4 linked regions of the Lonchura striata genome follow. Each later gene encodes a partner of the first gene's protein in a complex. Links are inferred from orthologs where the notes say so. Each region holds a gene or a part of one and is shown in the gene's direction. Other genes may lie near its edges.

Region 1 (6,950 bases):
AGGCCAAGCTCTCAGTGATGGGAGGCTGAGTTCCCCTCTCACCTCTAGAGGTGGATCTTCCAGGTCAAGGCTGAGGCACGGTGATGGGGAAAATGTGGAAGCTATACACTGCTGCTGCCCAGGCTGTACCTGTGCTGTAGATAAATACAGGGCTTCAGTCTCCAAGGCTGTCAAATAGGCTGGAACCTTTCATGAACACTACATGTAAACTTTTTAAAAATTCAAAAGATGGAATCAATACAGGATCGTATTGCCTTTGGAACAGATCTGTGCCAGTTTTGGCAGTAGGTCAAATTAACTGTGGTTGACTGTCAGTAACACACCAGAGCTTTTACAGCATGACACTCAAGGTTTTTAAAGCTGCCTGCTCTCCCCCTGTAGATGAGAATACTGACCTGATTTTTGTAGCCCTTGTCCACTCCGAGTGTCTGGGTGCAAAATTTATGCTTAACTCCGAAGTGCCGCATTAGGTAGGCCAGGTCAATAGTCCAGATACTCTTTGTTAACTGGAGTTCCTGGATGGCTTTCTGAAACTCATCATTGTCCAAATGATTCAGGTACCTATAGCGTCAAGAAAGGCAGGGGAAGAGAAGCACAGATCTTAGAAGAAGCAAAATGTGTGCTGTAGCCCAAGCCTCTACATCACAGCACATAAAAACTGAAACAACAGGCTTGGCTAAGAAGTAACAAACAAAAAAAAAAGCCCCAAAAACAAACCAACCCACAAAGGAGACAGAAATTTAAGGGAAGGGAATAGGGAATATTTAACCAGATTTATTGCTGACTTTTTAAAATTGGAAATGTGTGGTGCCTTGACTGTTTTAGAGTGCTAGAAGTGTACAGGTGCTGTACCAGAGTCAAGCTGGTATAGAACTCTGTCCTGAAGGGTTTACAGTGTAATGTATAAGTGTATTAGAGCCAACAGAGAAAGAAGAGTTAAAGACTAAAACTTCCTTCACACAATAGATGGATTTTAAAAGGAGGAGCCATAAAGGAACTCAGTAAATATTCAAAGTAAACTTGTCTTAGGCACTGATGACACAAAAGGAAGAAAGTGGGAGATGGAAGTCAGGAGGAAGCTTGGCACAGGTTGCAAAGGGGCAGGCAAGGTAGTTACAGGGAGTTCTGAAAGTAAGAAAACAAATAGAAGTAAATGATAAAAAATAAAAAGCAACTGGAACTGAGGATGCAGGGCAAACAAGGTCATATCAGCAGGGTAAGAAGATTAATCTTGGAAGCTGAGTTTTGGGCAGACTGGAGTGGCAAAGAGGTAAAGGGAATAGAGGTTACAGTAGTCAAGATGGGAAATTACCAGCACACGGACTAACGTCTTGGCAGAAGGGATGGAGAGAAATGAAAATCTTCTGCTTCATATCTACTAAGTGGACATCTAAATAGGTATTTCTCCTGCACCTAAGCTCATGTTCCTCTGTGGAAGGAAAGAGGAGTTCAGCAGGACAGCTACTAGTTCAAAAACTGGTAAAAACAAAAATAAACAAAAAACCCCCAGAGGGCAACACAATTTTGAAGCTGAAACTACTCCTGGAACACAAACACTCATCCCACAGGCTGGGGCTCAGCAGGACAGAGGTAGCACAGGTACAGCACACACTCATAAACTGAGATACACCTACCCATCACTTGAAAATACAAAAAGGAATCGGATGAGTCACAGCTAACTATGGGTTCTGAATTGTAACAACAGAAAAGAGGCAAGACTTTCTATGTGCTTGTGCATGCCAGCCTGCAAAGTTCATAGAGCTGATTAGGTATTCTGCATCTGTGTAATTAGTCAATTATTCAAAGGAGTCCAAAGTTCACTTCAGTTTATGTTTTCCCTTGCTCCTGCTGGAGAGCTGGGCCAGGCCCAAGCAGCTGTCATTGTCCAAGGGTACCTCAAAAACTGTTGCTCTCCTAAGACTGAACTCATGGCTGCTTCAAACACACCTCTTCTCCCTGGGATGTTTCCTGCTACCCCTCCCCATGGAATGGGATTTCCCACTGTAAGAGAGCCACTTACTGAAGCACCATCCTGGAGCAGGCCAGCCCACAGTCCCAGTGGTACAGCTGCTGAATCACTGGCACTTTCAGCTGGATGCAGTCAACTGTGTGAGCAGAACACAAACAATGTCAATCCATACAGGAATGTTTTTCCATGCCATGAAGTCAGCCTGTTCTCAGCACTACAATCATGGAAACTTAGGAATGTGGTTTTGTCTGACTGGCAGGTGGATTTTTTTCTTCCTTAGGGGAACATACAGTTAGTATTTCTGTACAGGTAAGCATTTGGTTTAATCTCATACTCCTTCATTGTTCCATACCTAGGTCACTGGCTTTCCACCCCCTTTTCCCTTGGAAGTTTCTTTTTTCTTTTTTGTGAGGTGATGTACCCACCACCCCTCAACTGAAGCGGTGTCTTCTCCTGGATAACAGCAGGTAAGACACAGGTCTTTTCTGTCTGATTGTACTTCTGTGCCACAAGAGGAGTTAAACCACACTGGGAGAAAACACACCAAGATCTCTGGGCAGGAATCTCTTAGAAGCCCCACAGATTTAAACCTTTTCTATAGATGTCTTTTTTCTCAGGGATGGTAATTTACAGAATTTAAACAAAACTCACAAGTGGTACCAGTTGTGTTAATTCCATCAAAACCTCAGTAGAGAGGGAAAATTAATAAACTCTGCCAAAAAGTCCCAAAACACAAGCTCCATCCTCTGCCTCAAGTTTTTTCTTTTTACGGAGCTGGCAATGTGGTGGTTTCAGTTTCACCACTAGCAGGACTTGAACAGTTGTATCTGTCATTGCTACTTCAGCATTGATCAAAACAAGTTAATCACAAAGAGCTTTCCTCAATAACCTTTGATCTAGAAAAGGCCTTCGAGAAGCTTGGTTAACAAGGTCCTCTAGATTTTATGATGGGAATAAAAATGCATTTGATATCACGTGGATTTGTTTAGTTTTGGGGTAATATTATTTATAGAACTTTTTAGATAACGTTGTTATATTTTTCCTAGTTGTGCCCCTGTTTAATCATGACTTTAAAGAACAGCATACCAATTGATATATTCAGTCTTTTAAATTCATCTAGCTTAAGGTGTTCTCAAGTATCGTAACAAAAAAAAAAAAAAAACAAAAAAAAAGAAAAGAAAACCAATTCCCATTTGTCTTCAAACCAGGACTTCTCAACTATTTTATCATAATTTCTTCTTAGTATGTTATGAATCTGTCCCCTTTTTGTAAACAGCCAGGGCCTCTACCAAGTCCCACATTAACCAAGGGCTACGTGTTTTCTACGTGAAAGCTTCAGAGAGCGATAACAAGTTTTCCTGGCCGTCCAGTTTCCAGTCACCTGTTTCCCAGCACACCTAGAGCTCTTTGGCGATGGCTCGCTGCCGTCCCGACACGGGAGACCGGCCCGTCTATGCCCTGCCTGCGAACCACCCTGCGAACCCCTCTGCGCTTGGCCGGCTCCCCGCCGCCACCACCTTACCGACGGAGCCGGTAACTGCGCACGGCTGCTGCGGGCAGCGCGGCTCGGCGGGGCCCGCACCCGCCGCCCGCCGGGCGCTGTCCCCGGCCCGTTCCGCGGGCGGACTCCGCCTCCCGCCGCCCCCTGCCCGCGGAGGCCCCGCCGGCCCGAGCGGGGCTGGGCGGCCCGCACTGACCTGGCGGCGGCTCGCCGGCCTCCCGGGGGCTCTTCATGGCGGTGGCGGCACCCGCCGCCCGTTCACTGCCGGCCCCGCCGAGCCGGCGGCGCGGCCCCGGGGCCCGGCGCTGGCTCCTCCCGGAGGCGGGGGCTGAGGGGGGCCGGGCCCCGGGGCGCTCGCCCCGCGCCGTGGCGGCGAGGAGGGCGGCGGGGCGTGCGGGCGGGCGGGGGCATGACACGGCGGGCGAGGGGCGCGCAGCCCTGCCGCGGAGCGGGGGCGCGGCGGGGCTGCCGGGCCGGCCCCGGGCGGCAGCGGACGGGCCGCGCCGCCCCCAGCGCCGCGTTCCGGTTCCGGCGCGCGGAGCAGGCCGGGAGGCGGCGGAGGCCATTAGCGGAGCGGCGCGGGCGGTGAGTGCGGCGCGGCGGCCTCGGCTCCCCGCGGGGCTCCGTGGCTCCCTGGGCTGGCTGTGGGGAGGCGCCCGAGCGGAGCAGCCCCGGAGGGGCCGGCCGGAGCGGGAGGGCTGGGGGGCCCCGTGCTTGGCGCCGCGCCCCCAGCGCGGCCGTACCGCTGTGGGGTCCGCCTGGGGCTCTTCCCTTGGAGGTACGAGTGGTTTGTGTTGTGGTCCCTAAAAGTGAATTTCCCAGAAGAGACCTGGAAAAGACTGGCTGGTGATGTTTAGAGTCTTGATGGGCACGTCTCTAGAGGAGTGTTACTGGTGCATAGTCAAAACGCATGTTGTGTTATAAATGTGAGAAAAATCGGTGCTTTACACTAATGGAAGGGATGATGGATTGTGTAATTGGACCTTATTCGACATCTTTCTTTGTAATAAAGCTTTTGATTTCCTTGTGCCTCAGGTGTAGAGCCACAGCACTGCAGCCATGTCGATTGGAGTGCCCATCAAGGTCCTGCACGAGGCCGAGGGCCACATCGTGACCTGTGAGACCAATACAGGAGAAGTTTATCGAGGCAAACTTATCGAAGCTGAGGACAACATGAATTGTCAGGTATCTTTTGTTTCACAAGGATGGAGGGAAGGTTGGCTTATCTGGGCCTCAGAAGGCTCAAAACTTGATCAAAAGACTGTTGCTTTTAGTTCTGGGATTAAAAAAAAACTGTACTGGTGCTGTTTTTTACCGTGTTGAAGTGGATTCATCATTACAGAATGCTTCAAAGAGGCCAGAGCTTATTTCCAATTTCAAAGTAGGATTGGGCATCCCAGTCAGTAGGATCAGAGATTTTAAGAGTCTGTCCTGTGAACAGTGTTTTTCCAGAATTCTTTGCTTAAAGCCACTGAGTGTAAGAATAAAAAAACCCCTTGATTTAAGAAACTAAAGCTTATTTAATGCACATTACTATAGTCGTTCCAAGAGGGCCTAACTTTGATTTCAGGCAAGTGATCATTGACATTAGAATGCTTTCCCAATTGTTAGTACTAGAATAGCTTTATTAAAACTATTTGCATATAAGAAAACAAAAATGATAGATACTGATAAAGCTAATTTGTAAACTGGTGAGAAAGCAAAAGTCCTGGGCAGCAGGCATGGGGTGTGTTTAAATGGTCGTGATGCCTTGTGTCACAGGTGAGGCCTGTCTGAGCATTGACTGATTTTTTACCTTGCAGATGTCCAACATAACAGTGACATACAGAGATGGACGGGTGGCACAGCTCGAGCAGGTGTACATCAGGGGCAGCAAGATACGGTTTCTCATCTTACCAGATATGTTGAAGAATGCTCCTATGCTAAAGAGCATGAAGAATAAAAACCAGGGCTCTGGAGCTGGGCGAGGGAAAGCAGCCATTCTCAAAGCTCAAGGTACGTACAGTTTGTTCATGATCCCTCCCCCTGTTTTTCTGTAGAACTGGAAGACTCATCTCTGTCTCTGAGGAGATTAAGCAGTAAGAAGTGAAAAGCTTGCTGGTTCATACAGTGTTTTTCTGTATATTTTATCTTACAGTGAGAGTCAAGACTCAAATTGTCCCAATTACCTGAATGTGATGTGATGAATATTGATGCTACAGTAATTTAGAGGTAGTGAGTGGCCTTATTAAACAGAGCCTTTCTGTTAAATTTAAGAGTTCTGTTTTCCTGCAGCTTTGGCCACCAGCTGTTTGAAATGCTTAGGGAAGGATTCAGGTGTTCTTGTTGAGCTGTTGTAGGAAAACAGCTTTAGTTACAAAGATGGTACTTGAGCTGCTGGGAAGCTGTAATTATTACCTTTTCTGTAGTTCACTCTCATTTGTGCCTTTCTCAGGGGATCAGTCTAGTTGTTAGGTAGTTGAGTAGCAGTCACAAAGTCCCTGGTTAGCATGCAGTAACGTTTATGTGGGGGAGTAACTTACTGCATGTTGCAAAACCTTGCAAGAGTGTGGGGTTTCAAATCTCTGGGGTGACACAGATTTGTGTGTCAGAAGGAACATGAGATGTCTGAATATCACCTGCAGTTGTCCTGAGGAGCCAGACTGTGGGACCATTAGGTTATGGTTCTTATCACAGAATGCTTTGTGCTCTTCACATCACTTTCTGAGCATTTCCTTGCTTCTGAGTAGGAGACCTTGAGTTCTGTTGATATTTTGCTTGTCAGTTGTTGAGATAAATGTGCAGGTATGTCAAATTCATGTCATCCCTGATGTTTTCTTTCTTCAGTGGCTGCAAGAGGAAGAGGCCGTGGTATGGGCCGTGGCAACATCTTCCAGAAGCGAAGATAATTTTGGTCTCGGCCGAATTGCTTTTTGTATTTGGGGTGTTAACTTGACTATGTGTGCACGTTAGTATCAGCTTTGTTTAATAAATGTTTCTGACAAAAACTTGTCTGCTCTTACCTGACAGGACAATTCTTGGACAAATACACTGTAGGTTGGTTTCAAACTCAAGCCAGCTTTGGAAAATAGTGGACTTTATTATATCTAGTTTTGACCACTTTATGTGATGCATTGATTTCTGAAGATCATTATGTTTCCTTTTTCTTGTTTAGTCCTGCTGTCATTTATTCTCTGAAGAATTAGAAGGCATTCTTAATGAAGAATTTTGGGTCATACATTATAAAGTCTTACTAGCAGCTGCATTTATGGAAAATACAGCAAAACAGAGGCTGCTTCCTGAGAAGCAGAGCACTGTGTCCTTTAGCTTTATATAGGCCTACAGTAGATAGAGGTTTATCTTCAAATCTCTATATTGTATTTGTATTCTTGCATTTTTTATCTTTCTCTTTGGATATAGGGAGAATTTTTCATTAGGAACACACAACTTTGATAGCCTGAATCTATATTTGCAGTGAAAAAATCTGTTCTGACTTTCTTA
Region 2 (7,446 bases), on another chromosome or scaffold:
ATGAGGATGGGAATGTGATGGGGATGGGATGGGAAATGAGATGGCAGTGGGGATGAGAATGGGATGGGGATGGGAATGAGATGGGAATGGGGATGGAATGGGAATGGGAATGAAGATGAGGTTGGGAATGTGATGGGGATGGGGATGGGACGGGGACGGGATGGGAAATGGGATGGGGATGGGATGGGAATGGGGTTGGGAATGGGACAGGAGCCGTTTCCTGCCCGCGCTGGCCCTGTTCCCACCCGCTTCCCCGGGCCTGGGGAAGGAGTTCCGGCTTGGATCGAGGGGATGCTCCAGGGGATCCCCTCCCAAGCCAGGGCACCTCCTGGCTCTGCAGGTGCTGCGGCACGAGGAGTTCGAGGAGGGCTGCAAGGCCACCTGCAACGGGTGAGTGCCCGGTGCAGCTGTTGTTCACAGTAAAATAAAGTTTGGGTTGTTTCTTATTAAATTGCTTCCCTTGGAACCTGCAGCCCCCCACTCTGTGTAGGTGTGGTGTTTATATTGCACAGAAATACCACGCCTCTAGGTTGATACTTAATTATTTCTCAGCTTATCAGGAATTTCTCAGCTTATCAGGACTCCAGTTCCACTGATTGTTTAGATAATCGTGGCACTATCAAGGTTCTTGAGTTAAAAATCCCTCCTGGTAGCCCAAGGCTAAAGAAAAAGAAATTAAAAGAAGAAGAAAGAGGAATGCATTTCATTGTGAAGTGGAAGGAATCTTACAGTTTGGTGCCCTTTCCTACTTAGCAATAAGGAAGTGATTATGTAATTGCAGCTAATGAGCAGCCTGTGCTCTTAAAGCACCAGCTGTTAATGAGGTAGAATTGCTTTTATCATATGAAGAGAGCCCGGGGTCAAATCTGCCACGATTTCACTCTAGAAACACAACTCCTCCTTGAAACACAAATACTCGCAGTTCTTGGTGGTTCATTTCAATGCTAATGACATTAAAATATGGATAATATGGATATTCCAGCCCTTATGATGGAAAATGGAGCAAGACCATGGTGGGTTACGGACCAGAGGACAATCACTTTGTGGCAGAGCTGACTTACAATTATGGCATTGGAGAATATCGCCTGGGCAACGACTTCCTGGTGAGTTCCACTCATGATAAGCTGATTTACCTTGATAATTAGGAGCTCATTTGTCACAGCTGCTTATTTTTATGCTGTTGGGTCCCTTAACCACATAATCGTTGCTTTTATGGTTGTCTCTGAGTTGGAAGAGCAGAATCCAGAGCAGATTTGTGCTCACTTAGAGGTCCAGGAAACATTTCTGGAGCTCTCCCTCTGCTGTGTGGGACAGCTGGTGTTTGCTGCCAGATCCAACAGGAGGAACTTGCTGCAGGAAAACACTCTTATATTTATTATTTTGATAATTTTTGTGATTTAGTGGCTGGCAGCAGATGGAGATCTCGTGTTTCCTGTGTGGAAGGAGGTTCTGTCTCTGCCTCCACCCCATGGATTGTGTTGTGTCCTCTCTAGGGCATCACTCTGGTGTCCAGCCAGGCTGTGAGCAATGCCAAGAAGATGGGGTGGCCCCTCAAAGAAGTCACCTCTGGTGTCTTTGAAGCTGAAGCCCCAGGAGGATACAAATTCTACCTGGAAGACAAAGAACAGCCCAAGCAAGGTGAAATACCCCTGCTGGTGTTCAGCAGAGGTTTAACAGTGGGGTATCAGAGTGTGTTTATTTTGATGGCATTTTGTAGAACAGTACACTTTTTTTATAATTTCTCTGTTACTTCTCAAGAATACTAATGACATTAACTGTGGATTTAAAGCTATAATATGTTTGTAGCTAATGTGAAATTATTGCAATCCTCAAGATCCCGTGTGGAAGGTAACCCTGGGTGTCTCAAACCTGCAGAAGTCTGTGAGCTACTGGTCTGGTTTGCTTGGGATGAAAATCTATGAGAAGGATGAGGAGAAACAAAGGGCTTTGCTGGGCTACGCTGATAACCAGGTCAGTCCTTGGAAAAATCACCAATTTCAGGAAAAAAGCTCTTAATTAGAGCAACTGTGCCCTTAATGATGAGTGTTTTAATTGACGCTGTATACACCCAGCTGCGCTTTTAAAAATAAAAAAGCAAAGCTGTGGTTTGCTGTGGCTTGTTGGGAAAGGCGTGGATGGGGGATTTTGGAATCAGCTGCAGCCTGGAGCAGTGTCCCTGCAAGCCAGGCTGGGTTTTTCCCTGTCCCAGTGCAAGCTGGAGCTGAAGGCTGTTGGAGGAGCAGTGGACCACGGGACAGCGTTCGGCCGCATCGCCTTCTCCTGTGCCAAGGAAGAGGTAACAGCCCCATTTCCCTCCCCCCAGCTGGGGAAGGTTGTTTTGGTGTTAACAAAACCCTGAGCAGATAGTTTATCTCTTTGGCAGCGAGGTGATTTGGGTTTGCTTTCTGTTTCCAGCTGCCAAGCATTGAAGCCCTGATGAAAAAGGAGAATCAGAAAATCTTGACGCCCCTGGTCAGCTTGGACACGCCTGGCAAAGCCACGGTGCAGGTGGTGATTCTGGCTGATCCTGTGAGTAAAACTGAAAAGTTTTAAAAGTGGTTAAATTTGGTTTCAGTTCCTCCTTGCCATTAGTTATAACTGAGCTGCCTCCTTTCAGGATGGCCACGAAATCTGTTTTGTGGGGGATGAAGCATTCAGAGAGCTGTCCCAGGTGGACCCTAATGGTGACAAGCTGTTGGATGATGTAAGTGGCTGCACATTCATTTTCTTCCTGATTAGAGATACCTGTAAAATCCAATTTTCATTCCATGCTGAGTTTTTCCTGGAAGCAAATCACCCAGGGTTGGTAAGGAAAATAAATCAGTTTTTAAATCTCACTTGGTGCCCTGGGTGGAGTTGTCCAGCATCACTCTTGGGGCATGGTCTCGTTGTTTGCTGTGGCAGAGAAAGTTGGTTTTCAGTGTCAGTTCTCCTTACTAGTAGCTAAAAAATGATTTATCTCTCCAGAGAGCTTTCCTCCTGTTCTGACCATGTTCCCACTTGTCTTTGTGCAGGCCATGGCTGCAGACAACAGTGACAAGTGGTTTGCTGAGCACAACATGAAGAAGGTTTCAGCTTAGCTGGAGGAATGGCCTGTGCTGCTATTCTGTGCCTTGGAGTTCTTCCAAGAAAGTGCCAATCCTGGTTAAAGTGCTGCCTTCCTAATCAGAAGGTGCTGGGATTTCCTGTGGTGGGTTTTTTTGGGTTGATTTAAGCTGATGTCTCTGGCCTGCTGCTCTGTCCCTTTCACATCTCATCCATCCAAAAAAACGGGGGCCATGCAGCAAAGGAGCAGCTGAGCCCTTGGCTTCAAAACAGGGACCATCAGTCAAGAGAGAATCACATTTCTGTGTTGTTATGCTTCAAGGAAAGGTGGATAGGTTATTTTCTGATTAATTAATTTCCTGATTACTTTGCTTTAGCTGTCCTTCATTTGCAGGCTAGAGAGGAGATTTGGAGGCAGCTGTGGCTACTCCCCCTCTCCAGGGAGGTGTGGGGTGCATCCCTTTATTGGGAACAAAGAAATGATCTTGCCAAGCTGCGTGAATACTCCAGTCCTTGTTATTCCAAGGAGTTTCCCCAGCTTCCAAGGGGAAATGTTCAGCCCGTGGTGTGTTTCTCACTGGGATCCTGCTGTTGCTGGGTTTCCAGTCTTTCTCCAGGAGATTTCCACGTTCCAGCAGGGAACTGAGGCTGTGCTTTGGGGTTTGGAGCTGCACTGTCTGCTGAGGTGCCAGGGGGCAGCTTGAAATAAGTTTTTCACTTAGCTGTTGGTGAGAAGCTGCCTTTGGAAATAACAATTCAGGGTTTTTTGTGTTGGAGTGAAGTTGCTCTGCTTTTGCTGGGAATACAGGGAGTCATTCCCATCATTGCTTGTGCCACGTATGCTGCCTGACCATCGTTTCCTTGATGAAAACCTTAAATAAAATCCTTTAAATCAGGTTTTCATCGCGAAACGAGTTTGATAGAGACGATCGATCGGGCAGCGTTGGCACTTCTGAGGTGGAGCAGGAAAAACTCCTCACTGCGATTTGTTTTTTTTTTTTTTCAGTCAGCTTTTTGAATTCCATTTTAATGGCGGTTTGGAATCCTATTTGTATGATTAAACACATTGATAGTGGAGCATGGCAATGAATTAGTCCATGAATTCATTTATTAATTTTTTCATTAATTATATTAGTCCATGAATTCATTCATTAATTAATTCACTAATGTTTTCATTAATTATATTAGTCCATGAATTCATTAATCAATTCATTAATGATTTCATTAATGAATTCGTTAATTTTTCATTAATGATTTAATTAATGATTTCATTAATTAATTAAGCAGCACACCTCCGCGCCGCCAGGGGCCGCTGCGAGCGCGCGGCGGGGCGGGGGCGGACGGCGTTACGTCAGCGCAGCGCGGGCGTGACGTCACCGCGCGGGCGCCATGGCGGCGGCGGAGCGCGGGCCCGCCATGGCGGCGGGCGGGCCCTGGGCCGTGGGCGAGGAGACGGCGATCCTGCACGGCGGCTTCCTGCTGGCCGCCCGCCTGCTGCAGCCGCGGCCGCTGCGGGAGCTGCGCAAGGCCGACTGGCCCCGCGCGGGGCTGCCCATCGCCGACGCGCTGCGCGAGATCGCCGAGCGCTGCCCCGCGCCGCGCCGCCGGTGGAAGAAGGAGGCCGTGGCCATCGTGTGGGCCAAGATCCTGCTGCCGGCGCTGGAGTGGGGCTGGAGGGATGACGGGTTCTTCTCGGTGGGCGCGATGATCCCCGATGTCAGCCCCGCCGCGCTCTTCGAGCTGGTGAAGGCGCTGGGCGAGCCGCGGCTCTGGGTGCAGCTGCTGCTGGCGCTGCCGCCGGCCGTGTGCCGGGCACAGCTGCAGAGCTTGGTGCGGTACATCTCCAGCGAGACCTCCTTGTCGGACGTCAGCTTCTTCCTGGACGTGTGGTGGGAGGTGCTGAAGCACAGGGCGGGGCAGGAGGATGCCACGGTGTCGGCGTTCGGCGCTCTCATCCACCAGCACGGCGGGGAGTCCCCCCCCGAGGATGGTCTGCAGCCCCCAAAGAGGTTCAAGGGTGACCCTGGGAGCGCCGCGGCCACCGCCGGGCTGCCCGCGGTGCTGCTGGAGGGGTTAAAGCTGATCCGAGGCAGCATCGCCCAGCCCCGCCTGAGGTGCTACGCCCTGGCCAACCTGGCGGAGCTGCTGTGCCTCTCCTCGGTGCTGGGGCCGGGGCACAGCCCCCTGCCCATCGCGGAGCACCTGGCCAAGCTCGGCGCCGTGGTCAGTCTCTGGAGCAGTGATGCTGACAGCCAGTACCACCCCTGCGAGCTGGGAGAGAAGGTGAGGGAGGCAGAGAGGAGCCTGAGCCTCCTGTGCCTGACCAAACCCTCTCGTGAGGAGCTCTTCGATGGCTTAGGCTTGCTCTGCAGCTTGCTGCAGGCCTGGGGAGAGGAGCTGCAGGACACTCTGAGGGGGTGTGAGGGGCTTTGCTTTGAGAGCTACCGGCTCCTGGACGCTCTGAGCAGCCTTGGGAAGAACCTGGATTTCCTCTTGGAGACCAGAGACCTGGGGGATGGCGGGACATGGGTGGTGTCAGAGGTGACACAGCTCATCAAGGACTTGCTCAGGGACACCGGTGCAGTCCTGAAGGGTTTGGACACCAGCCTTGTGTCTTCAGTTGCCATGGCAATCATTGCACAGAGGCTGGACCGCCATGGGGAAACCTGCTCTGTTTTTGCATCTGAAAAGACCTGGGCTTTTTCAAAGGCCTGGGTCGAGTGCCTGGTGAAGAATAAAGCTCTGTTCCAGACTCCTGAGCTAGTTTTGAAACTGCTGGAGACGCTGGTGAACTTTGCTACTTCCCACCATGACCAGGAGGCCCAAGAGCTGCAGATGCAAGTGACCAAAGCCATCGTGGAGTGCTACACTGAGCTTTCATTGAGTGACAAAAACAAAGTGATCTCAGCTGTCCTGGCGTCCTGGGGCGGCCCAGGTCTGTCCCAGAACGTGCAGGTTGTCAGGGAGGGCTTCCAGGAGGACCTGAATGTGACTTTGAACCAGATCACAGAGAGTGTGTCTGATGAAGGCCTGGCCAGGGCTGTGGCTTCTGTGGCCAGGCTGACACTGCTGTCCCCCGAGGCCACAGTGAAGCAGGTTTGTCATCTTGCTGTGGTCAACCTCGGGGCGCACCAGTTCCTCGCCCAAATCCTCTGCTCCTTCCCAGCACTGAGCTTCCTGGAGAGCCACGAGGGTGCAGGCAAGCCACGCAGCCTGGTGGTGAGGTGCCTGGAGGAGGCAGTGTGGGGGAAGCTTTCCACGGCGAGGGAAGAGGAGCAATTCCTTCAGTTCCTGGCCTTTCTCATGCAGCCAGGCTCAGCCACCCCACTTGTGTCACCTGCAGAAGTGACCGAAGCCTTTGTCCTTCCCTGTTTAAAGTCAGACTCTGCTCAGATTGAGCTGAGCCTGCAGATCCTCAGTAAGGTTTTGGGAATACCATCCTGCTCAGAAGAGCACTGGATTGAGTCCTGCCACCCATTCCCACTTCTCCTTAGCCTCTGCAAACTTCTGGATGGTTACACCAAGTACTGGCATCGGCCTAGGGAGCAGCTCTTCCCTTCCCTGGAGACCAAAGACCTGATTCTGAGCATCCTGTGCCAGCTGTGCGAGCTGGTGGGACCAGAGACCGTCCCCTCCTCGGAGCTGTGGGTGCAGTCGCTGGCCTGGCTCCACAGGAAGGTGGCATCCCTGGACTGGACCGTGGGGCTCCGTCTGAAGAAGCTTTATGGGGATCACTTCAAGAACGAGGTCCCAGCGACGCTGTTCGAGATCTGCAGGCTCCCTGAGGACGAGTGGACGTGCCAGTCCTGGCCAGCCTACGGGCCGGGCAGTGGGCTGCTGGCGTGGATGGAGTGCTGCTGCGTGTCCCCAGCGCTCAGGGACTCCATGCTGGCGCTGCTCTGCGTCAACGTGGACAACCCCGAGGAGGTGAATCTCTTCAGCAAAGGCTTCCTGGTGGCCCTCATCCAGGTGCTGCCTTGGTGCAGCCCCGGCGAGTGGAGGAGGCTGGTGCCCGTGGTGGAGCAGCTGCTGCAGAAGGAGGTGCTGCACGTGCCCTACACGCTGGAGTACGTGCAGCACGTGCCCCTGCTCAACCTGCGCCCCTTCGCCTGCCACCTGCAGCTCTCCGTGCTCTTCCTGCGGGGCTTCCAGCTCCTCTGCAGCTCCAGCTGCTCCAGCTGGCTGCCTCCAGAGGCCTGGCTGCACGTGGTGCAGCTGTACTGCGCCAGCCTGACCGACCTGCTGGCCTCCCTCAAGGCCGCGGCGGCGGCCGCGGCTCAGCCCTGCGCGCAGGAGGTGTCCTTCACCTGCATCCAGCTCTTCTGCCACCTGCTGCACGTGGCTGCCATGCTGCCTGCTGGGGGCTGTGAGGAGCCTCTGCTGGTGGTGGCCCTGGAGGTG
Region 3 (7,850 bases), on another chromosome or scaffold:
GCACTACGTGTCCTGAACAACCTAGTGTGATTTACCTCATTTTCTTCCTTCTTGTCTCTCTCCACATAGGGACTTTCATATGGCTGCAGTGTCTCCTCCCACCACTCTGCGTCCACACGGCTCTTCCTTGTTGAGGTCATCCACACTGGATCGTATCTTTGTGTCACATCCCTGACACTCCCATCGTTGTCAAACCCCACAACGTAGAAAAGCGGCTTTGTGGCATGTGCAAAGCACAGCTGGGGCTGGCCCACATTGCCATGAACACAGTCTACACAAACCCACTTGTCCTCAGGCTCAAGGAAAACCTCCAGCCACTGGTCTGTGCCCATTGCTCTCCTCACCTCCTGCTGTCCATCATCCTCATCACTAGAAATGATTTTGTTTCTCTTTCTCTGTGCTTGAGGCAAGGCTGGAGTTGTACTTTTTGCTGGTTTAGTCTCAGCTCCATGCGAATTTTCTGCTTGCCTTGTTTCTGAAGTCTCAGTTTTTGACCTTTTTACAGTTGTCAGCTTTGAATTCTGGGAGGCCTGTGAACTTCTCCGCCTCTTAGGGACAGTTTCAAAATCCTCATCAGAGAGATCACTCTCCTCCTCTGAAACCTCAAAGTCTGAAGCACTGCCCTCATCACTTCCACTCTCTTCCTTGTAACACACTTTGGAGGCCACTCGTCTCCGGCGGTCGTTCTTGGGCCTGACTGGCACATCTTTTTCTGCTGAACTGGTCTCATTATTTGATCCCTTCTGTTCCTGGCTACCTTTAGTCAGCTTTGATTTATGTGTCCTTCCAGTCTGGGCAGTTTTGGGTTTCTTTGGCTCCTTGTTGCTTTCTTTGCTCTCTGAGGATTTCTCATCCTGCTTGGCTTTTTTGCAGGGGCATGTTTTTGCCACAGCTTTGGGTGTTGTGGCAGAACTCTCCCGTCCCTCATGGGTGCTGCTGTGAGACAGCCTCTTGGATGAGCTCTTTGCCTACAGGGAAACAGGCCAGGTCATTTTTATGACCACAGCTAAGAACATGGTAAAAAAAAAAGACTAAAATCAGCCCAAGGTTCATGCAGACCAAAGGTTCACGGGTACAATCAACTCACTTGAAAACTTCAGGCAACTGGCTGAATAGAGGTGTATTCATGCAGTAAGAGTTGCCATCTAAGTTTTAAGAAATGTAAACCCACTGAAATGTTAAGAAATCTTTGCTGAAACACAGAAATGAGTGGCTTTTTTAAAGAAGAAAATTAAAAATTAAGGGTGTGCATTTTCTGCAATGTAGACAGAACCCTGGTTCATGCAGTAAACAATTCACTATAAGCTGTAATAGGAATAAAGTTTTTTTAATCCTACTAAATCAATGACCTATTCCTTATTCTACACAAACAACAAAATCTACCTTTGGTCTTGTCTCCTTGAGAGGAATAGGCTGAAAAGACAGCACGAGACGACACAGCAGCTGTAATGCTCTCAGAATAATTAAAAATATCTGCAAAACAGATTGAGTACTTTAATCACAGGAGCTCTTGAGATAAAAATGCAAGAAAATAAAAAGCTAGAGAATCATTTAAGTCACCGATCTGCCTTCTTCAAATCCACCCCTTCCACCACTTGTGTATGACCTGACACACAGCATCCAAACTCACCAACCAGCCCTGCACTTCCCAGTCTCTTACATGAACAAGCTCCTCATCATCCTGTGCAGCATAGATGGCAAACCTCCTCTCCAGTGTTGCCTGAAGGGGCTCTCCTTTTTCAGTGGAAAGCTCATCATTGACAGTGAAGGTTCCAACAAACCTGAAATACAAGACACCTGCTTATTATCCAGTGTTTGTGACTGTATTCTTAAACTTCTGAGTTCACCCTCTCCTTCTCTAAAAAGGACAGCCCCTCTCACCCTTGCAGATAAAATTTTAAAAACCCACAGAAAATTGCTAGTTACAGTTACCCCTCTCCCAGAACTCTCGCTCTACATTCTATGTGACAGCACCATCAGAAGAGCTTTACCATTTCACCAGGTTGGAAAGGTAGACAAGGCCCACTTGGCCTGTGGGCACTTGGGTGAAGCGGGTGGGGATGATGGACAGAGCGATGGCGAGGAGATCTGGCTGGCTGCAGATCCTGTTCCTGTAGAAACCATTTGCTAGTAAACACAGCAAGTGAACCTGAGAGAGAAGAGTTTGAAAGTGAGTTCACAAGAGATTTTCCTTATTGGAACTACTGCTCATGGTAAAGACAAGGAATACTTCACTGCTCCTTTTAACAGAGAGAGGTGGCAATAATGCCTCCCAAGACTCAGTGCTGTCTTCAGAAGACAGCAAAGCACTAAAGTCTTTGCAAGTGTCTCCTGCTCTACATGGCTGACAGTTTAATCCCAACAGAATGAGACAATATCCCTCTATGGAGACATATACATCCTACTCACATATGCTTTGAGTTAGAATTTTACTAACACAGGTACTGATGTTTCCAGTTCACAGTTTAAGAGGAACCTTAATGAGCATCTGTCAGGACGACAGCCTCTTTATTTTGTCACTTCTAGCCTTTCTAACTATTTAAAAAATAGCTTATTTTGATTACAAATCAGTTCAGACACCTTTATGCTCAATTTCTTCTCTGCCATGGTTCTCTGTGACAAATACCTTATGTGTGTCCTCACGAACCTCCTTGCTGAAACGTTTCATCATTCTCCGAAGGTACATCTCAAACTCAGCTTTTCTTTTTTCTCTGCAGAAGATTACAAAAGAAAGGGATGTTGTGGGTTTTCTGTGGACCTGCCTTTCTTGATTTCTGAACTGGGCCATCTTCCATGCACACTTAAGGAAAGGTTTAGTGATTGGTTATGTGAACAGGTTGTTAAGGTTTTGCAGTAACACAATGTCATTCACCCACAGCTGTCCTCGCAGAGACTTCCTGCTGTCCCTTCACTGGAAACGGAGACAGTAAAACACAATGAAGTTACACACTTGATTTTCGAGGAAGCTGAAAAGCCTCCTCCATTCCTGCCAACTTCCACTGAAGATTTTTGGTAGAACAGTCAGTGTGTAAACTGTTCATCCCATAGCCCTGCATTATTCCAGCTCACTGGTCTGAACCACGTGGGGATTTTCACCCTGAATGAACGCAGCAAGTCAGTGACAGCCAAGACTTAGGGTATTTTTAACTTCAGCCTTTAGCAGCCCTCCACCACCTCCTTGTTCTTACCTCCTCTCTCTTTTCTTCACCTGCTCTGGGGTTTCAATCTCTATCTCGACAGGATTGCTTGGCAGCCCCACTGATGGAAGAACAGTAGCTTCTTCTAACTTATCTGGAGGCTCCTGAAGTTCTGTAAAAATAAAACACTAAATTATAAGTAAACATGGAATAGATTCCCAGGGAGGACTGGTGATTGGATAAGAACCTACATTTTCCTTCTCAAGTGTTCAAACAACCTTCAAACAGAACACATCCAGTAACTACCAGCTCCTGGATCTTCCATAACACTGTGTGTGCTAAGTTAATTGAAATTACTGTGGGATGTTGGTCACCTGCTGTTGAGGAATCATTGTGATATACAGGCTCTTAAAAAAAGTGCTTAACATGAAAAAATATGCAATTGTTACCTTCCACATCCTCCCATTCATCTTCACTTTCATCATCATCATCATTGTTGTCAGTATTGTCTTCATCCATTTCTTTTTTAACAGGAGATTCTGTCTTTAATTTTATCTCCGTCTGAGGATGCTTCAGTGAGTCACTGTTAAAATCACAAAACAGTGGTAGCACCAGGAAACACAGGTGCTTGTTTATCAAAGACTAAAAATAGAGAAACAAATCAAGCATGATCTCTGCATCAGTAACAACCGATTGAGTATTTGACCATCAAACCACAGAAAGAAGTAAGAAAAAGGTCCTATAGACTTGAGTGATAAATAAATTTACCTGCATGTTTCTTCTTTGATAGAATTATCTTTATTTCTAGCATTCTTTTTACTTTCTTTTATTTGTGATTTTGCCTCTTCTTGTTTTGAAAGTTTGGAAGTTTTTGCTGAGTTGGAAACTTCAGTATCACAATCATCTCCCTTTTTCCTAGCTGGAGCTTTTGAGGTCTTTTTTATACTGGGCTTTTTCTCTTCAAAATCATCTGCAAATGACAAAAGAAATGAAGATTAATGTTAGAGGACAGAGTTTCATCTCCATGGCCATCTGAAACAATATCTCCATGGCCTTCATTAGAGGCAGCTTCAGAAGAATGCGAGCAATCACAATGCTGAGCATGTCATTGTTTGTTTACAAACAAGCAGGATTTGAACAGTGAGACTTGTTGGAGAGAAATACCTACATAACTCACAAGAAGTACCTAAAGATTCCTACAGTCCTACCGATGGAATCGGCGGAAAACCAAGCATCGTGCTTGCCACTCATAACAAGTTATTCTCGCATGCCGCTGCTCAGGAGAGCACGGCCGAGATGAAACAGCCCCGCACGGGCTGCTCAGCCTTTGGCAGCGTGGGGGACGAGTCACACGCGGGTTTAACGCCTGGATAACGCAGCGATAACATCCATCTTCCTCCAGGCCGGCGCGCCCGTCCTTCCCGAGCCGACCCCGCGGCTGGAGCGGCCCGAGCCGCGGCGGCGGCGCAGCTCCGGCCCGCCGCGGCCTCCGTGCCGCACTCACCCTCCTCACCCTCCTCACCCTCCTCCGGCTCGTCCTCCGGCGGCCGCCCGGAGCGCCTCTTGCTGGCGGCGGCGGGCCGGGGCGGCGCTCGGCGCTTCCTGGCCATGGCGCGGGCCGGCCCGCCCCGCGGAGGGCGCGGCGGGCAAGGCGAGGGAAGGGAAGGGGAGGGAAGGAAGGGGCCGGGCCATAAAGTCTCGCGGGCGGGCGCGGGAGGCGCGTTGAATGATGGCGGATGAGGTGGACCAGGTGAGCGCTCTGGGCTCCCTCGGGCCGCAGGGGAGGCAGCTCTGGGCAGCCCGGGAGCTCTCCGTGCCGGCTCCGAGCTTGCGCCGCTGCCGGGCCGCGGGCAGGGCTCGCTGCAGGCCCGCCGACCCCGCACTGCCCGCGGAGGGGAAGGGGGAAAGCCGCCGAGGGCAGTGCCCCGGGCTCTGAAGGACGGGGGCAGCTAGAAGGGAAATACGGGATGTGTATGGAAGATGTGGAGGAGGTCGTCACACTTTTTTTAAATTGTGATTCTCGAAGTGCGCCTTTCGCCCAGCAAGGGGCCTCAGGCCGCTGGGTGCTGGGGTTTCACGGCAGCCTCGGGGCCCGGCCTGGCCGCGGTGAGTGTGGGGGGCAGCGTGTGCCCGGGGCACCCGAGGGATCCCCCCGGGGTGTGCCCGGGGCACCCGAGGGATCGCCCCGGGGTGTGCCCGGGGCACCCGAGGGATCCCCCGGGGTGTGCCCGGGGCACCCGAGGGATCCCCCCGGGGTGTGCCCGGGGCACCCGAGGGATCCCCCGGGGTGTGCCCGGGGCACCCGAGGGATCCCCCCGGGGTGTGCCCGGGGCACCCGAGGGATCCCCCCGGGGTGTGCCCGGGGCACCCGAGGGATCCCCCCGGGGTGTGCCCGGGGCACCCGAGGGATCCCCCCGGGGTGTGCCCCGGCACCCGAGGGATGCCCCCGGGGTGTGCCCGGGGCACCCGAGGGATCCCCCCGGGGTGTGCCCGGGGCACCCGAGGGATCCCCCCGGGGTGTGCCCGGGGCACCCGAGGGATCCCCCCGGGGTGTGCCCGGGGCACCCGAGGGATCCCCCCGGGGTGTGCCCGGGGCACCCGAGGGATCCCCCCGGGGTGTGCCCGGGGCACCCGAGAGATCCCCCCGGGTGTGCCCGGGGCACCCGAGAGCCCCCAGGGTGTGCCCGGGGCACCCGAGGGATCGCCCCGGGGTGTGCCCGGGGCACCCGAGGGATCGCCCCGGGGTGTGCCCGGGGCACCCGAGGGATGCCCCCGGGGTGTGCCCGGGGCACCCGAGGGATGCCCCCGGGGTGTGCCCGGGGCACCCGAGGGATGCCCCCGGGGTGTGCCCGGGGCACCCGAGGGATGCCCCCGGGGTGTGCCCGGGGCACCCGAGATCCCCCGGGATGTACCCCGGCACACGAGAGCCCCCTGGGTGTGCCCAGGTAACTCCCTGTGCCGGCACCGCAGGCAGCGTGGGTTCGGCTGGTTCAGCTGTGCCGTGCCACGGCACAGCTATGCTGCTGGTTCCTGCAGTGTAAACTGTGGCTGCCGGTAGGAAAAACAGTTCACTGCTTATAGAATGGTTTTTGTGATGTCCTAAAGATCATCCAGTTCCAGTCCCCCTGTGTGTAAAGAATGATTTGCTGCAGGCTAAAATGAAATATTTTGACTCGCATTGCTCAGGGCTGCGGAGTGTCAGTGGAGTGGTAAATCAGCAGCACTCAGGTTCTCTAACATGTCATGGAGTAATTTGAATTATTTGCATCTGTGTTTTCACTCCTTTGTTTTCTGTGTCGCACATTGAGGAGTGGAAAAGCTGACAGGCTTCTTCTGTACAAATAATGCTGCTTTTTTTTTTTAGCAACAAACAACAAATACTGTAGAGGAGCCACTTGATCTCATCAGACTCAGTCTAGATGAGCGAATCTATGTCAAAATGAGGAATGACAGAGAGCTTAGAGGCAGATTACATGTAAGTAAAACTTTCACAACATTGTCATGCTCATCCAGCTAAGCACTGTGCAGCCTTTCTTTATGTACAACAGTCTGTTAAACAAGTTTACCTGTAATATTCCACTGGTTGTTGAAAAAGTTAGTTTTAAAACATGAGTAATTGCATTTCCTGGTTGAAAGTGCAGAAGTGGTTGGAGAAAGTAGGTTAAGAATTGTCTTAGTTACCAGAACTGTAATGTGATTGGTGGAAAAATCTCATTTCCTCAGTGCTTTGTCAGCTATTAACTGCTTCCCTAGAAAATCAAGAGATGTATTTTGTTCTTCTTGTCTCCTGAATGATACCAAGCAACAAATTTCACTGCTTTTGGCTTCCATTTCTCTGTCTGTGAAATAAGCAATAATGCTGCAGGCCTCTTCATATGATGTACCCTGAGGCCTCTTCTAGACTGAGGTCATTATTATCAAACAAGAATCCCTTAAGGCACACCCTGGGAGGTGTGATGGGACAGGTGCTCAGCTGCATTCTCAGATTTTTGCTTTCTGTAAGTCAGTCAGCCTCCCTGAGTGCTGTGCCCTGCTGGGAGGAGAACCAGTTGCCCCATGAGTTAACTGGGCCTCAACTCCTTTGGAAGCACACAGATAATGAGAGATCCATGAGGGACATGTAGTTTGCAACATGCTTTTTAAGGATTTTGGAACATGAGTATAAGGTTTTGTAGCACTGTACGAGAAGCAGCTTTCAAACCCTGTAAGTTGCCCCCAGGCAATCAATTCCAGGAGGCTGGACTGGCAGCAGTGTATAGCTGGTTTAATGTTAACAAAGTCTGTCTGTCTCTGAGGTCTTGTAAATGCTCTCACAGAATGCTTCAGAGCTATTTCCTGCAAGTGTTGCAGTAAATGCAAATGTTGTACCTTCTTTTTTCTGCTGCAAAGTTCTCGTTTGTTTATGTTTGTGTTGAGCTGGAACTAGAATGATAGTACTATGTTTTGGTCAAAATCAGACAAAACTATGTCTCAAAGTCTTGCTAAAATTCTCATTTTAAGAAACTCATGTTTGAATTTTGGGAAACATGGTAAACTAAACTTACTTTCTACAGGCATACGATCAGCACTTAAATATGATTTTGGGTGATGTAGAAGAAACTGTGACTACAATAGAGATTGATGAAGAAACCTATGAAGAGATTTATAAAGTAAGACCTAAAAAAGGAGTTAATTTATCCTGACATATTTTTTTATTTAAAACTACACTGTGTT
Region 4 (7,305 bases), on another chromosome or scaffold:
AGAATCTGAAAAATACAAGAGCTAAAATGTAAGGCATCAGGACAAAGTGGTGTGTGATGCAGTCTTTAAAGCTGTAGAAGAAACTTCAGAAGCGCAGCTAAGCCTGAGGACAGTGAGCTGAGTATTCTGATGGTCTTTGCTGCCATCCTGTGGAAACGGCAACAATGAGTTTAAGGATATAAAATCTGCTATTTTCACGTGCAGAAAATGGGGCCCCAAGGCGTCGCTCGTGTTGTCTCGCTTTAGTTTTCAGAGAAAACAAAAAATAACAGATTTCAGTAAAACAATTGTATTATATTAATTGGGATACCAAGACTAATTAAACTCTACTTTTGCATTGTTTTCAACAGTAAAAGACAAATTCAGTATCATAGTTCATACATGGTGAGCAGAGTCAGTGGACTATGTTTTTAATGTAATTATTTAGAATCTGTTGTAGAACGAGAAGCTGTAAAGATTTCAAGAGCACAAATTCCCTGAACACTATCAAAGAAGGATCTTCCCATAAAATAACCCACCACAACAGAAACTTGACATTAAGCACTGTAAGGCAAACAGGAAGGTGTCAAGATGGAAGGTGGAGGTTTGGAATTAGCATAGGGGACAAAAACTCTACTGTGCAGACTATGGGAAAAGAAACAACTGCTTACACTCTGTGTAGCCTCTACACCCTTTTCTCCAAGTGGTCTTTACAACCTTTTCTCCAATTCCCTCACCCTTTTCTCCAAGTGGTCTTTGCATCCTATTCTTCAAGTCCCTCACCCTTTTCTCCAAATGGCCTTTCCACCCTTTTCCCCCAGTCTTTCCCCCTTTTCTCCAGGTGGCCTTTCCCCCAGCCCCTCACCCTTTTTCTCCAGGTGGCCTTTCCCTCCTTTCCCCGTCCCTCCCCCTTTTCTCCAGGTGGCCTTTCCACCCTTTCTGCCAGCCCCTCACCCTTTTCTCCAGGTGGTCGTTACATTCTTTTCTCCAACTCCCTCACCCTTTTTTCCAAGTGGTCTTTACACCCTTTTCACCAAGTCCCTAATCCTGTTCTCGCAGTGGCCTTTCCACCCTTTTCTCCAAATGGCCTTTACATCCTTTTATCCAGGTCCCTCACCCTGTTCTCCAAGTGGCCTTTCCACCCTTTTCCCCCAGTCCCTCACCCTTTCCCCCAGTCCCTCCCCCTTTTCTCCAGGTGGCCTTTCCACCCTTTCCCCCCTGTCCCTCCCCCTGTTCTCCAGGTGGCCTTTCCACCCTTTCCGCCAGCCCCTCACCCTTTTCTCCAGGTGGTCTTTACATTCTTTTCTCCAAATCCTTCACCCTTTTTTCCAAGTGGTCTTTACATCCTTTTCTCCAACTCCCTCACCCTTTTCTCCAAGTGGTCTTTACACCCTTTTCACCAAGTCCCTTGTCTTTTCTGCAAGTTGGCCTTTACACCCTTTTCTGCAAGTCCCTCATCCTGTTCTTCCAGTGGCCTTTCCACCCTTTTCTCCAAGTCCCTCATCCTGTTCTTCCAGTGGCCTTTCCACCCTTTTCCCCCAGTCCCTCACCCTTTTCCCCCAGTCCCTCACCCTTTCCCCCTGTCCCTCCCCCTTTTCTCCAGGTGGCCTTTCCACCCTTTCCCCACTCCCCTCACCCTTTTCTCCAGGTGGGCCTTGCCCTGCTCGGCCAGCAGCGCCTTGCGCACGCCGAAGGCCACGCTGCTCTCGTAGAGCGCCTGGTACGCGGCGAGCGTCAGGCGCAGCTCGTCCCGCACGCGCAGCAGCAGCAGCCCCCGCTCGGCGCAGCTCACCGTGGTCTGCCGGATCAGCTCGTCTGCAAGGGAGCAACACAGGCTGCAGTGCCCTTCTCTGGGACATGGCTGCTCCTCTCACCTCTCACAGACAGAGCACGGCTTTCCCAGGCAGCGTTCTGGGAAAGGCAGTGACAGGCTCAGAGAAAAGAATGAGGAACAGTTCTTATCTTGCTGCACCGGGTGGTGTGAATATGTGGGATGTGTTATGGGGGTTTGTTTACCAAAGGGTGGTTGTGGGAATCCAGGGCTTCCCTCTGGCTGCCCTGGCAGGTCTGGGACCCTGGCAGGGGTCAGGAACCCCCCTGGACAGAGCCCCCAGAGACACTGGCTGTGATCTCTGCCCATGGAAAAGAGTTTTCAATCTTACAGGATGAACTACCAGCTCTGAGTGTTTGATATAAGTAATAATTAAATGTAGCACAGGTACAGAAGTAAAATTTTAGAATTTTAGATTAGGGGTTCAAAGGGGACAAGATGGAGGAAATTGGGCGTGTCTTGTCCTTCTTCTTCATGCCCTCCATGTCTCACTGTGGTGTTGGCATTTTTCTATTGGTTTAGGCTGGAAACACACTATTCAATGTAAATAATAGATATTAGCACATTATTGTAAATACAGCACACATAGTTTCTGGTATTTAATGTTTGTAACATCCCACTGAGGGCAGAGCCCCACATGCTGCCCTGCAGGACAGAGCTCTGCAGCAGGGAAGCAGAACATAAGCAAAAATAAACAACCTTAAAAACCAGCACAGACAAATTATAGCTACTTCTTTAACAACAAGGCAAAAAAACAGAGACTCTTTACAATTTCAGAATCGTCAATACCACAAATTCCAACAGGTGTTACTTAATTAGCATCAACTTCATGGTGATGGTGTTTTAAGTAAAAGACCAATTAAGTCCACCAGTAGCAAACTAGGGTATAAAAAGGCAATGGGTTTCTTTATAAAGTAAATTATCAGCCTTCTATAAAATGCATGGAGTTCATGTCACTACTTACCCAGCTGGGGACCTGTTGCAGTGACACTCCACCACTCACTGTGCCACACAACTGGAATCACACACTGAATCACAGAGCTGCCAGGTTGGAACAGACCTTCGAGATCATCAAGCCCTACAACCTCACCAAGTGCCACATACAATCTTTTTTTAAACACACGAGGGATGGTGACTCCACCACCTCCCTGGGCAAACCACTCCAGCACTTTATCACCCTTTCTATAAAAAACTTTTTCCTAATACCCAACCTGTATTTCCCTTGGTGCAGCTTAAGCTTCCCTATTTCATGGCGGTGTAAAACAGGGCTTTGGAAGGGTAAATGTGGCCCTGAAGGGTCAGTGGGGTCCTGAGATGTAAATGGGGTCCTGGAAGAGTAAAGAGGGTTGTCAGAGAATAAATGGGGTTCTGGAAGGGTAAATGGGGCCCTGAGGGGAAAATTAAGTCCTGGAAATGATGCTTTAAGTTTTAGCTTTTGTATAGAAGGGTAAAGAGGGTTCTGAGGGAATAGAGAAGGTCCTAGGGAGGTAAATGCAGGCCTTTGGGGTAAATGGGCCCACATTTAGGACATGGAATGTCCTAGAGACAGTAACAATTGATTTGTTTAGTTCCATTGCAGCTGTAGCATTGAGTGCAGCAGGTAAAAGCAGAGCAGTGGTGCAGCTCTTCGGGCAATGCCAATGATGCTATCCCCTAAAGCTGCAACAGCAAGCACTCAAAAACGTGTAATGGACTTGTTGCAGTCATGGGGGAGCCCTCAGAGGTTCCTGTGTCATCAGTGTGTGACACACACACACGGCTCCAGGTTACTTTAAACAAACTTGGCTGAAGCGCAGCCAGGAGGACACCCGAGAGGATTGAGAGCTGTTTCCAGGTGCAGGCTGCGCACTGACCGAAGCACTGCGTGTAGAGCTCCCTGCGCACGGGGCACAGCCCGGTCTCCCGCGCCTGCCGCTGCTGCAGCTGCCGGTCCAGCTGCTCCTGCAGCTGCAGCACGTCCCGGCGGGTGCTGGGCGCGGTGGACACCTCCTGCACCCACAGCTTCTGCGCCTCCTCCCACTCCCTGCCAGAGAAGCAGCGGCCGTTACCGGGGCCGCCGGGCGCCCCGCGGCCCCGCCGGCCCCGGCCCGGCCCCGCTCACCGCGGCGGCAGGATGGCGTTCAGGAGCTCCTGCGGCTGCTGCGCGGAGGAGAGGCCGGCGGGGCCGCGCGGGGCCTGGCTCTGCGGGAACACGAGAGGGCAGCGCCGTGAGGGCGGCCGGGGCGCCGCGGCACCCTCGGCCCCCCGCGAGCCCCCCGCTGGCGCTCACCGCCGCGGAGGCCCGGTCTCCCCGGCGGGACACCAGCACGGGCGGGCAGTACCGCAGCAGCGACTCGGGCGGCGCCGCCATGGCGGCCGCGGGCCCGTCACCATGGCGGCCGCGGGCCCGTCACCATGGCGACCGCGCCGCCCGCCCCGCGCAGGCGCGGCCCCGCCCCGCGGGCGGAAGCGCTGCGGGCGGAAGCGGCGGCACTTCCGTGCGGGCGGGCGCCATGGAGGCGGCGGAGGAGCGGCGGAGAGAGCGGCGGCGGCGCCGGGAGGCGGCGGTGGTGAAGGCCGAGCGGCGAAGCCCCCGGCGCAGTGCGTCGCCGCCGGGCGAGGAGCGGCGGGGCCCGGCAGGGCGCGGCAGCAGGTAGGGAGGCCCAGCCGCTCGGCCCCGCGCTCGGCCCGGCCCCGCCGCTCAACCCCTCCCGTTGTTCCCCAGGTCGCCCCGGCGGAGGAGCAGGTCCGGGAGGAGGAGCCGCTCCCCGCGAGGCAGGAGGAGCCGCAGCCACAGCCCGCACCACGGCGCCGTGAGGGTAAAGCAGGTGAGTGGGGAGACTCGGCCGCGGCGGGTGCGGTAGGCGCCTCTTCATGTGTCAATTCCGACTGGGCCCTACATCGTGTCCCATGAGCAGAGAGAGGATCTGGGCCAGTCGGAGCTCCTGCTGCCCAGCTCAGGCTGTGCCACCCGTGGCTGTAGCTGCTCTCGGAGCCGTGCCCGTGGAGCTCCCATGGGAGCCCTGCTCCTGCCACAGCACAGGCACCCCTGGGAGCTGTGTCCTCTCCCCAGAGCAGGCTACACTCGCTGTTTCTGGTGCTTTATTCAGTGCCAGTTGTGGGAACCCAAGTAGGCTGGCAAGGAACTCTGTTCCACGTCGTGTCAGGGCTGCACGGTACATCCCAGTGTGTGTTTTCCCAGCGCGTGGCGCTGGGATTTTCCGAAAGGCTGAGCTGCTGCTCTCTGTGATCCTCCCTTCAGGAGCGAGACGATCACTGTCGCAGGGGCACCGAGGAGCGGAAGCAGAGGCACCCGGCGGAGCAGGAGCACCGGCGGGAGCGGGACAGGAGCGGGGAGCGGCACAAGGAGCACGCAGACAGGAGGAAGAACCCCGGTGAGAGGCCGGGAGCGCGCGGCCACGAGCGGGAGGCGCAGAGCCTGCGGGAGCAGCAGGCGGAGAGGGAGCTGCACAACGAGAGGCGGCGGGAGCAGCGGCAGAGCAGCGAGCAGAACGCAGAGCCCTGGCAAGCAGAGAGCAAACCCAAAGAAAAACCCGCTGCCAACAAGGAGAAGCCAAGCTTCGAGCTGTCGGGGGCGCTGCTGGAGGACACCAACACCTTCCGGGGCGTGGTGATCAAGTACAGCGAGCCCCCCGAGGCGCGCATCCCCAAGACGCGCTGGCGCCTGTACCCCTTCAAGAACGACGAGTTCCTGCCCGTGATGTACATCCACAGGCAGAGCGCCTACCTGCTGGGCCGGCACCGCCGCATCGCCGACATCCCCATCGACCACCCTTCCTGCTCCAAGCAGCACGCCGTCTTCCAGTACCGGTGAGAGCCTGGCAGGGCTTCCAAACGGGTTCCAGGTGGTTTTTGAATTGATAATGCAGTTTGTGGAGGTTTTTTTACCTAAGTAAGAAAAGTGAGTTTAGTTTGCATTTTTACAGTGTGTTAAAAGGTTACAAGAGTCTTAGGTTAAAAATGTTACCGTCTTCTAGTACCTCAGATGAGTTCTGAAGGGATTTGAGGTGGTTTTTGAATTGGTTTTGATAATGCAGTTTGTGGGGTTTTTTTTACATAAGTGGTAAAAGTGAGTTTAGTTCACGTTTTTTTATGGTATGGGTTAAAAAGTTAGAAGAGTCTTAGGTTAAAAGGGTTGCAAAGTTACAAGAGTCCTAGGTTAAAAATGTTACCATCTTCCAGTACCTGTGAGAGCCTGGCAGGAGTTCTGAACAGGTTTCAGGAATTTTTGAGTTGGTAATGCAGTTTATGGGGTTTTTTTTACGTAAGTAAGAAAAGTGAGCTTTGTTTGCGTTTTTACAGTATGGGTTAAAAAGTTACAGTACTTAGGTTAAAAGGGTTAAAAAGTTACAAGACTTAGGTTAAAGAGGTTACTGTCTTCCAGTACCAGTGACAGCCTGCGACAACTTCCGAACAGGTTCGAGGTGATTTTTCAGGTGATTTTGATAATGCAGTTGGTGGGGTTTTTTTTTACCTAAATAAGAAAAGTGAGTTCAGTTCACGTTTTTTACAGTATGCGTTAAAAAGTTACAAGACTTAGGTTAAAAAGGTTAAAAAGTTATGAGAGTCTTAGGTTAAAAGGATTAAAAAGTTATGAGAGTCTTAGGTTAAAAATGTTACCGTCTTCCAGTACCTGTGAGAGCCTGGCAGGAGTTCTGAATGGGTTTGAGGTGGTTTTTGAATTGATAATGCAGTTTGTGGGTTTTTTTACCTAAGTAAGAAAAGTGAGTTTAGTTTGTGTTTTTACAGTATGGGTTAAAAAGTTACAAGAGTCTTAGGTTAAAAAGGGTTCTGTCTTCCAGTACCTGTGAAAGCCTGGGAGGAGTTCTGAAGGGGTTTGAGATGGTTTTTGAGTTGGTTTTCATAATGCAGTTTGTGAGGTCTTTTTTAATGTAAGTAAGAAAAGTGAGTTTAGTTCATGTAAGAGCTCCCTGCATTTCAAATTCCAGCAAGGGAGGAAAGCAGCACACAAAGCAAGTGCCTTGGAATGGGTGGCTGGGAGGGGACAGTTTGCTGTTGGCACATGTCAAGTGGAATTTATGCTGCAGGTCATCCCAGCAGTGGCCAAATATATCTGAAATTCAGCTAGCAGCAAGCAGAGAAATCACACAGGGGGTTAGACACAGTGTGGGGTGTGAATCCAGGCTGGAGTCACCCAGCAGCTGTGATTGACTGGGAGCATTCACAGGAAACAGAAAACAGGGCTTTTTACCCCAACTCTGTGGGATGGGAACTGTTTCTTAATCCCAGAGAAGCACCCTGGGCATGGAGCCATCAGCTCCTGGGTGCTGCTGCCAGCACTAACAGCTTTAGCATCAGTCCCACGGATGTGAGAGCATTTCAAGGTTTGTGAGAGCATTTCAAGGAGATGTTGGTTTGTTTGCTCGCTGTGATGCACAGGAGTGTGGGTCTCAGATTCAGTCAAAGAAAGAAACTGAGAGTTTCTAGCTGGGCAGAAGCCTGGGAAAGAGCTGGACAAGAATGTAAATAATTCT

What was found.
Region 2: SNRPD3 (region 1) and GEMIN4 share a complex: the UniProt entries of both Homo sapiens proteins name them as parts of the SMN-Sm complex. The link is inferred for Lonchura striata from reciprocal best matches to the Homo sapiens genes SNRPD3 and GEMIN4.
Region 3: SNRPD3 (region 1) and LSM3 share a complex: the UniProt entries of both Homo sapiens proteins name them as parts of the U4/U6-U5 tri-snRNP complex. The link is inferred for Lonchura striata from reciprocal best matches to the Homo sapiens genes SNRPD3 and LSM3.
Region 4: SNRPD3 (region 1) and SNIP1 share a complex: the UniProt entries of both Homo sapiens proteins name them as parts of the minor spliceosome. The link is inferred for Lonchura striata from reciprocal best matches to the Homo sapiens genes SNRPD3 and SNIP1.

Annotation. Positions count from the first base shown.
Region 1 is NC_134620.1:3,928,515-3,935,464, reverse strand, and holds the start of SNRPD3 (small nuclear ribonucleoprotein Sm D3), read left to right. Parts: upstream 1-3,947; 5' UTR 3,948-4,055; intron 4,056-4,505; 5' UTR 4,506-4,529; coding exon 4,530-4,655; intron 4,656-5,272; coding exon 5,273-5,465; intron 5,466-6,296; coding exon 6,297-6,358; 3' UTR 6,359-6,950. Other genes in the region: protein GUCD1, read right to left, coding at 396-561, 2,021-2,105, 3,667-3,703. UniProt on the Homo sapiens protein: Plays a role in pre-mRNA splicing as a core component of the spliceosomal U1, U2, U4 and U5 small nuclear ribonucleoproteins (snRNPs), the building blocks of the spliceosome.
Region 2 is NC_134622.1:8,702,080-8,709,525, forward strand, and holds the start of GEMIN4 (gem-associated protein 4), read left to right. Parts: upstream 1-4,434; coding exon 4,435-7,446. Other genes in the region: GLOD4 (glyoxalase domain-containing protein 4), read left to right, coding at 341-390, 983-1,103, 1,494-1,638, 1,835-1,971, 2,210-2,296, 2,416-2,529, 2,618-2,704, 3,015-3,080. UniProt on the Homo sapiens protein: The SMN complex catalyzes the assembly of small nuclear ribonucleoproteins (snRNPs), the building blocks of the spliceosome, and thereby plays an important role in the splicing of cellular pre-mRNAs.
Region 3 is NC_134614.1:14,621,198-14,629,047, forward strand, and holds the start of LSM3 (U6 snRNA-associated Sm-like protein LSm3), read left to right. Parts: upstream 1-4,839; 5' UTR 4,840-4,863; coding exon 4,864-4,887; intron 4,888-6,501; coding exon 6,502-6,612; intron 6,613-7,690; coding exon 7,691-7,786; intron 7,787-7,850. Other genes in the region: XPC (DNA repair protein complementing XP-C cells), read right to left, coding at 36-968, 1,384-1,473, 1,661-1,781, 1,992-2,149, 2,627-2,711, 3,189-3,309, 3,587-3,720, 3,906-4,107 and 1 more. UniProt on the Homo sapiens protein: Plays a role in pre-mRNA splicing as component of the U4/U6-U5 tri-snRNP complex that is involved in spliceosome assembly, and as component of the precatalytic spliceosome (spliceosome B complex).
Region 4 is NC_134628.1:4,688,622-4,695,926, reverse strand, and holds the start of SNIP1 (smad nuclear-interacting protein 1), read left to right. Parts: upstream 1-4,302; coding exon 4,303-4,442; intron 4,443-4,514; coding exon 4,515-4,617; intron 4,618-5,051; coding exon 5,052-5,620; intron 5,621-7,305. Other genes in the region: DNALI1 (axonemal dynein light intermediate polypeptide 1), read right to left, coding at 1,616-1,794, 3,664-3,833, 3,912-3,991, 4,080-4,160. UniProt on the Homo sapiens protein: Required for pre-mRNA splicing as component of the spliceosome. As a component of the minor spliceosome, involved in the splicing of U12-type introns in pre-mRNAs. Down-regulates NF-kappa-B signaling by competing with RELA for CREBBP/EP300 binding.